Kluyveromyces lactis: one gene and its partner. The protein of the gene in region 1 interacts with the protein of each later gene in a biochemical or structural test. Links are inferred from orthologs where the notes say so. Each region holds a gene or a part of one and is shown on either strand. Other genes may lie near its edges.

The links.
Region 2: the proteins of YPP1 (region 1) and STT4 form a complex in vitro, tested with the Saccharomyces cerevisiae proteins (2 studies listed by BioGRID). The link is inferred for Kluyveromyces lactis from reciprocal best matches to the Saccharomyces cerevisiae genes YPP1 and STT4.

What each region holds. Positions count from the first base shown.
Region 1 is NC_006042.1:2,038,674-2,042,939, forward strand, and holds YPP1 (Ypp1p), read left to right. Parts: upstream 1-1,477; coding exon 1,478-3,637; downstream 3,638-4,266. Other genes in the region: TMA22 (Tma22p), read left to right, coding at 443-1,045; dolichyl-phosphate-mannose-protein mannosyltransferase PMT6, read left to right, coding at 3,983-4,266. UniProt on the Saccharomyces cerevisiae protein: Involved in endocytosis.
Region 2 is NC_006039.1:1,511,078-1,515,453, forward strand, and holds the start of STT4 (1-phosphatidylinositol 4-kinase STT4), read left to right. Parts: upstream 1-1,369; coding exon 1,370-4,376. Other genes in the region: KLLA0_C17270g (uncharacterized protein), read left to right, coding at 1-1,138. UniProt on the Saccharomyces cerevisiae protein: Acts on phosphatidylinositol (PI) in the first committed step in the production of the second messenger inositol 1,4,5,-trisphosphate. STT4 functions in PKC1 protein kinase pathway.

The DNA of each region.
Region 1 (4,266 bases):
AAGTGTAATGACACGCACGGCATCCGCACCGTAAATCTGTCGAGTATCCACCACACATTCTTGCACCTTATTTACGATCTCATCAAACAAGGGCTTGGAGCACACGTCCTTTGTCTTTGACGTTATTATTACAGTATCAGTAGCAAAATCATCATACGTTGCCATTCCAAAGAAGTGTATTCAGTGTGAGTGTAACCAAAGTTCGCCGCTATTTGTGCATGTCTAAGTAAACACTTAGTATATGTAAGTAGTAGATTACGTAGTTACTGAAGAAAGTGAATCGATCTTTACAGTGAAATATTGAAAAAAATATTGAAACAGAAAATCACTAATGCATGAGATGAGGTGTGTTCAGAATAACATTACGTGTAATTAAGTTACGCTTGATTCAGTTTGAGATTTATACGTTAGAATTAATTAAAGAGACAGAAGAATATACAGAATGCCTCTCACTAACGTTATATACTGTGGTGTGTGTGACTTTCCTGCTGAATACTGTGAATTTTCCGGTAAATTCAAACGTTGTAAAGCTTGGTTACAAGAAAACCACCCAGAATTGTACACCAAATGGTATGGCGATGTCACTGAAGATGTGTCTAAACAATTGGCAGAATCATCTATTGGTGATGAAAGAGAGGAGAAGCTTGAAAAGGCCCTAGAGAAACTAGAAAGAAAACAACAGGCTAGAGAGGAAAGAGAATTGGCTAAGAAATTATCGTCTAAAGTTGTGATCAGAAGAGAAGCAAGAACAAAACGGAAGTGTATGATTGCTATCTCTGGACTAGAAGTTTTCGAAATTGACATGAAGAAACTTTCCAAAACTTTTGCATCCAAATTTGCTACAGGTTGTTCTATCTCCAAAAATGCCGAGAAGAAAGAAGAAGTGATTGTTCAAGGTGATTTGGCAGATGAAGTAGAAGCATATATACATTCTTTACTAGAGGAAAAAGGTATGAAAGAAGTTAAGGTAGAAGTAATCGATGCCGCGAAGAAGAAGAAAAAAGCTGAAACTACAACTACACCAGGATCCGAAAATAAGAAATGATTATGAGAAGCACATTTAGCTGACACCCTTTTGTCATAACTTTATGTTAGCCTCTTAGGTAGAAAGATTTATATAATACCGCATTCATCGTTCAACAAACTGCACAATTAAACATCAGTAAGATGCTATATCTATACCCTCATATATAATAACTGTAGTAGCTATTAGGTTCCCATAAATATACTCCCATGGTGAGGAAGGGCAATACCTTACAAAAGAATATCCGGGTAAGATCACTTTTTCTTCACTTCCACTTCCATTATGCACCGTTAGATGGTGAGGAAACATGTCAAAATGTAAAATAAACTAAAAGCTATTTTCACCGAGCACAGAGAGTAAACAAGAGAAAGAGCCTTGAGTAATACACTGAGCACTCTTGTATTTGCTTACCAATTGGTTGAATCACGGAAGCATTCGGAAGTCAATTGTACTATGACCAGAGGATACATTGATGATTCGGTGAATCATGCTTTAGATTCTCGACTAATTGGTTCAAGCGTTTTTCAATCGTCAGATGCTTTGCTGGATCAATTATTATCTCTTCATTATAGAGCCCATTATCACATAAACATTTCTACAAAGACAAAATTCAGTGCACTGTCGGCCCTTTTATCTGAAGTGGAGAAGTTGCCCGTTCTAAAGGATGAATTACACTGTGCAATTGCGGACAATATCTATGGTATTGTTTTCTGTGAACTTGATGAAAAGGAAAAGGGGTTGCAGTACGTCTCTAAGAAGTTAGGCAGCGTTAATGGATACGATAGATTTGGAAGAATGCTAGATTTGGAAAGGCTATTTTATAAGGGAAATGTCGACTTAGCTGAGTTTTCCTCTGAAAGCTGGACTATTCCGAAATATTCTGATGGCTTAACTTGGCATTATTTGCAGGCAATAATAAAAGGGCTGGACCTCTCTCATTTTAAGCCAAAAACACCATTCCAATGGATGCTTTTGACCCTTAATGGTTCTGCAACTGACTCAAATCTTCTATCTTATAGCCATTCATTATTGAAGAAAAGTCGTTTCCCTAATGCTGATGAATCAAATAATTTTGAACTAGAACAATTCCACATGGTCCTACAAGAGCATCTCAAAATAAATAATTTAAATGTGAAGAAAGAATGGGAGCAATTTATCATTGATAGTATGGAAAAAAGTTTCCAAAGTATTTCGGTTGCAAAATCAGCAATGCTCTTTTATCGAAAGGTCGATCTAAAGAGGAGCATTCTAAACTTTACCAATTTGGTCAATTATTCAAACAAATATTACGAACTTAACAAAAGGTATCCTGACTTATTAGACTTAGTTTCATCGTACCAATTCATTCTGTCTACATGTAAAACGCCATTTGAACCGTTCTTCATGCCAGCAAACGTATCATCCGATTTCTTAAAGTTGCTAGAAAGAATTCACAACAAGTACAGTATCCCTATTATAGAAAAACAAAAGGCACTAGAAGGCAGCTCAGATGTATTGGACTTATGTCTAGCCTCATCAACAGCTTCTGTTCTATCCAGTTCATGGGAAACGTTATACGAAACTAGCGCTTCTTCTCTCCCAGCCTTGGTAGATCACAGTCAGATATTTTACCTATCGAATTCTTTGCAAACGTCTTTGAACGCTTCTGTGTCATTAAAGTTTAAGTTCGCTTATCATTTGGCTACATTAAGACAAATTGACCAATGCATCGCTTATCTAAAAAAACAAATATTAACACTTCATCCAGAACATTTCGCTAGTTGGCATCTTCTTGCGTTATGTGAATCCTGCATCAATGAAGATTTACAAGTAAGTTTCAAAATTATCAATTCTGTCATTCAATCAATGTGTGAACTTTTCGATGAAGGCAGGCAATTCACAATTGATGAAAAATGGCAGTTTATTCACATTAAATTAACTCAACTTCAACTAGTTAGAGACATGTTTGCACTTGAAGATGCACTTGAAATTTTGCCAGAGGTATTCGAACTTTATCAGCGTCTCTTTTCAGATGCTTCAGAACCCCTTGGTCCTCAAATCAATCAGAGTAACGACTATCTATTGCAGAAGATTTGGTTGTTTGCATTGGAATTATACCTGGAAAATGACGATATCGAAAATGTAAAGGCTGCGTTAGATGAGTTTAAGAACGTAACTTCAAAATATGTTAATTTGAACCACAACCTCGCACAAGGATTCGTGTTGTATACACATGGTCACTCTGAAAAAGCGACAGCGGAATTCGAAAAAGTTTTGCACTATGACTCTACATCTGTCGAGGCATTGATCGGTTTGGCAAAAATCGTGCTTCCTGATGAAGAGGCAAACCTGGATACGGATCTCAAGCATAACTCCAAAATAAACCAAAAGGAGCTACATAGAAATTCTGCCACGTCACTCGAAACTTCTTCTGCTGTAGCCAGACTTAAGTTCTTATTCGAAGAACTAGTCGATAAATCGATAGAAGGTTATCAAACATCTGCAGTGTGGTGGTATCTATCAAAAATATACGAAATATATTCTGATTCTACCAGACAACAGGAGGCGCTATGGCGATGCATCAAGTACGAAGAACTTCAACCCGTTCGCGAATTCAAGTTCTGTAATTTCTGATATTCTTTCAATTTACCTCATCCAAGTGTTCTGATATCCATAATATTTCCACTGTGGCAGCTGAAGTATAACATATTACATTCTAGTATATAGATTTATATTGTGACTATAGAATATACTGAGTTGAATTATGTATGACACGCTAAATTTTACCCAAGCTTGTCTAGTCACCTGACTTATCGAGAAGGCTAATTTCGTTTTCGATGTTGATATATCTACGGATGGACCGTGTCCAAGATCTCGGGAAAGAAGCAGAAATGATACCTGGGCATCCTTTAATGAATTGGAAAGCGCAATAGGTTACCCTTTATACAGGAAGGGCAAGTGGTTCGTCCAAGGGTAATAATGGTTTCTAAATCATCTGGATTTTTACCGAACTCTTCAGACTTGCGATTGAGAGAAAGAAAAGCACAATTCGATGGTACAGAGGTTTTAGAGGACTTCTTAAGAGATAATGAACCTGTAGAGGATAAGCTGGTGAAGCCATTGAAATCTTCAATATTTTCCAACAGAAACCACCGATTTCACACATATGTTTGCTTATTACTAACACTGGTATCTTTCGTGCTTCGGTTCTACAAGATTGACAGAAGCAACATCGTTGTCTGGGACGAGGCTCATTTTGGGAA
Region 2 (4,376 bases), on another chromosome or scaffold:
CGTAGATGCACTCATAGAAGGCCATCCACTACCGCGTCCCGAATGGTTCAGGTTTCAGAATAAAACACTTCAACTGGCGACTACGTACACTTTGCCCTCATTCATCTCTCAGCAGGGGCCCAGTGAAATCCAAATGGGACGAACTGGTCACTCCATTATACTGAACGATGCAAGTTTCCGTCTCTTTGAATTATCTATCGATGAGTCTGATGATTCCTTCAAAGTTTCATTTAATAGAGACTCATCCGCCCATGAAACGGTAACGTACTTCAAAACATGCGACCAATTTACCATCAGTATAAACCGCTTCAATGATTTCAATTTCAACACAGAGAAAATAATGGCAGGAGGAAAGTTGAAACTACCTGAAGTTATTGATGTGAACTCATTTGAAAATGAGACAGATACATATCTTCTGTTTCTATCATCCCGAGCGTACCAGTTGATTCAATATAACGGAACTCGATTGAAGACTTCAAAAGAGAATAAACTTCCGAAAAAATTCGGCGACGCAATGAGCTGTATCTTGCTTGGGCAGGATGTATTCCTCATTGGATTCAGAAATGGTTCAGTAATGATTTTTGATACTGGCAACAATAATGGAGGGGGCCCCAAGGCATATACATGGTTCAAATCGGATGGGCCTATAATTTCAATTACTCGAACAGCAAATGAGCCCGAATCAGATTTACTCTTGTCAATTGGGAAATATCCATTTCAGAAACTTATTTTGCTGAATCATAGAGGTAAAATATTGGCAGAATTTCAAAGCAGGTACTCCAACTTATCCAAGAACAAGGAAATACTCTCTATAATAAGAAATGAGGAATTGCATTGCGCCCTATACGGGAAGCGATTAGAAACAGAAGTCGATATGTTCTCTTTGAACACACCAAACTTGAAGTTTCCAGTGAATCTCAATTGGAATTGGGCGGGGTATGCAGAGATACTTGATATTTTACCATACAATCGTGAGGAAACCGTGCTTTTCCCTTTAGAAAAATGCTACATCAGAAAGCGATCCATCGCCAACGTCATTTTCCACAAATACAATACATATGGGCTGGATTCTACTAGGGTTTTAATTCTTATCAGAGACAACCATAACACTCTAGAAATCAAAGAGTACGTGTTTTAATCATCCCGATATATATATTTATCTACTTATGTATGGATGGGAATTAAGTGCTTATTCACGTGACAGATAATTTTATTTTCTGTCGCTGCAGAAACCTGTCGAGACTCAACACTCATGGAAAAAACCTTTAAATTCTAGCTTCAAGTAGCGAAACATACATTGAGAGGCTTCTATTGACACATTTTAGTAAGGCAACAGCAGCAGCAATAAGCCAGCATATATTCTAAGAAGATGAGAGGCTTGAAAAGGTGCGGAATCTCTTTGAGAGCACGTGCTTTGCAGAAGCTTTGTGAAGTCAATGGTTCAGAAGATCCACCTTTATCGAAACTCATAAATTCGTTGCCCATTGCTTATTCTTCCAATGTCTCGAAGCTATACTCAATTCCATTAACTTTAAAAGAACTTGAGATAATTTTTGCTATTTGTGATACTTCCCCACAAGATCTGGAAACTGTTGAATCCATTATCGATAATTTGATAACACCGTACTTTGTGGACTGTTCAAAACATAAATTTACTGATGTTGTAACAAGTAAATTCAAGAACAATGGGTTCAAGAACCCATTAGAAGTATTGTGCCATAAGATGACATTTTTCTTATTGAGAGCTAGTACCAAGTTTTCTAGTTTAACTGGTAAGGTGAACAGACTTTTCAGCGAGTATTTGAAAACTATACAATCCACACTATCGGTCAATGCTCTAGTGTCTTTCCTTGGCCATATGGAAGCAATGGCTGCCGGTATCCAAAAATCTGACAGAATCACTCAATTCCATTGGGAATTAGTGTTCCATTTGATCCAAATTTTGAACTCTGAGTTTTTGTTGAAGGCTGAAACGGTGTTGTCGCAATCGGTATCAAATGATATTTTAGTTGACTATTTCGATAATCATCGTGAAATTTGTGCTCTGAGATTTGTCCATTTGTTGGCTAAGGTCCAGGTGAATCTGCTAACTGTTGTGTTTGATGTGAAGAATCACGAAAACTTGTCCGAGTACCTATTGATAATCCAGGACCTTGAATACCAGGAAGAAACAGGTAACGAAGAGTATGTGAAATTCAAACAAATCACCGTGGAAAACTCTAGAGAGTTGAACAAAATTGCCTCTAACGCTGCTAAAATCATAACATTAGTTGACGATGGTGCTCCTTACATGAACTTGCAGACGTACAATACAGTTTCATTAGCATACAGGTGTAAAGTCAGCAACATGGAGATTCTCGCGTTCTCATTATTTATTGATGAACACGAAAGCGGTATGTTATCTACCAAATTGATCTCTATCTCCATTCAAGAAATTGAAACGTTACACGCCACCATTCGCTTAGAAAGTCCTGAAGTTTTGAAAGCAATTGTTAATGTCGCATCGTTGATGAATTTCTTTACCGATAGATTATCGGCTCGGTTGCTGAATGTCTTCCCCTTGATTGTGTCTTCTCAACAGATCAGCACGGAATTAGTAACACAATTGTCTGCTAACTTTGCTATTGGTTTGAAGCCATTGAGCGAAGATGCTATTGTAGGCACTATTTACTCGCTTAATAATTTGTTGGCGGTGACAAAGGATGGCTCCCCAGTTCCCCTATTGAAAGAGCGTAAGATGACAGTTTCCGATATGAATGAACTAGATAAGATGTTCCCAAGACAAAGAAAGGCTAATACTTTCACTTCGTTAAATGATATGAGAGTTTACCTTGGCGCTGAGAATGACAACAGCAGCACTGCTTCCTTAGTCCTCAGCAAAGTGGCCGAAGCAGAAGAAAAAACTTTGTTTGATACATCTAACACACATTATCATGATCAGTTATTCAAAAATGCAGTCATGGCATGTGTTACAGTGGCCAGGTACTACGGTGATCAAGCTATTTCTGCATTGGCAATAACAATCCTAACTCAAAAGTTTAGGGCCCTTTCCACTAAATCCGACAGATTGATCCTTGAAGGATTGGCTCACATTTTGCCATTTGTGGCGGATAATGAGTTCAGAATGCTATGCAAGTTTTACAACTCGGTTAGTTTACAATCCTTAAAGGAGGAAAACACAGACATACTAGATGCGGTGTTGTCTGCTAGAGTGATCATTAGCAAAGAGCTCAAGAATGGTACAAAAGGTGCTTCTTACATGTACTATTTGAGAAGCATTTTGGATATTATTGTCAGTAGGGGTGATGTTGAGAAATTAGAACACCACAGGTCACACCATGAAATTTCCAAGGTCGCCGAACAAATCGCCTTTTTCTTGAAACCATTGGCATTACTGTTACCAGTTCCTGGTGAAGATGTGTCTATCAGAGATATCTTGGGAAAAGATGCTGTAACAACTTCCGCTTTCCGTAATATTTGGTTCAACATGGTTATTCATGGGTTCCATATCAAATCTGATATGGCATTGAAGTTCAGAAGGGAACTAGAGATTATTGCATATAACTCCCCTCCTCTCGTATCGGATTTCCCTTCAAACAATAAGGAAACCACATTGGAAATGAATACTATTTTACGTCGTGGTTCATCTAATCATAACGTTAAGGCCCAAAAGTCTTCAATTCAACATATCCTTTCCTCGAATGTTATCGCAACAAGAACTATTTCAACCACGAAAATCATGTTCTTAGCTGCATCGTTTTTCCTTGAAAGCATTCGTTGCGATATTGGCGACTGTTCAACAATTTTGGAATATTTCTCAGATTCAACTATTGTTAATACTAATTTGGATAGATTCCTTGGACCAATCGCCATTAATTTGAATAATAAATATTTACAAACTGTTCCAACTGGCGATCTAAAGCTATTTTCCGCGAAAAAGAGTTCCGGTGAATTGAAGAAGATGTTCTTAATGCTGACACATAGAGACCTCTTTCTTCAAGACTGCGCTTTCCAATGCTGTGATATCTTTATCAAAAAGTTGCCTTCAAGCTTATGCCATCATGACTCACTTTATGCATTGTTGGATTCACTAAGCATGCTGTTTGATAGTGTATCTGATTTTGAGACAAGAAAGTACGATCCGAGATTCGAGTTTACCTTGAGAACTAGTGGTATCAAAGTGTTGTTAACGGATTCTGAAGAGTGGAGAAAATCCACTTTTGAAAGATTAGTTATTGCCGCTAGGGAATGGACCAAGATCTTATTACGTACTTCTAATCAAGATGGTAAGATCTTACTACAGTCATATATTACCGACGTTACTGATTTGCAGAACACCAACAGTGTAGAATATGGTGTTTCTTTTGCTCTTGAAC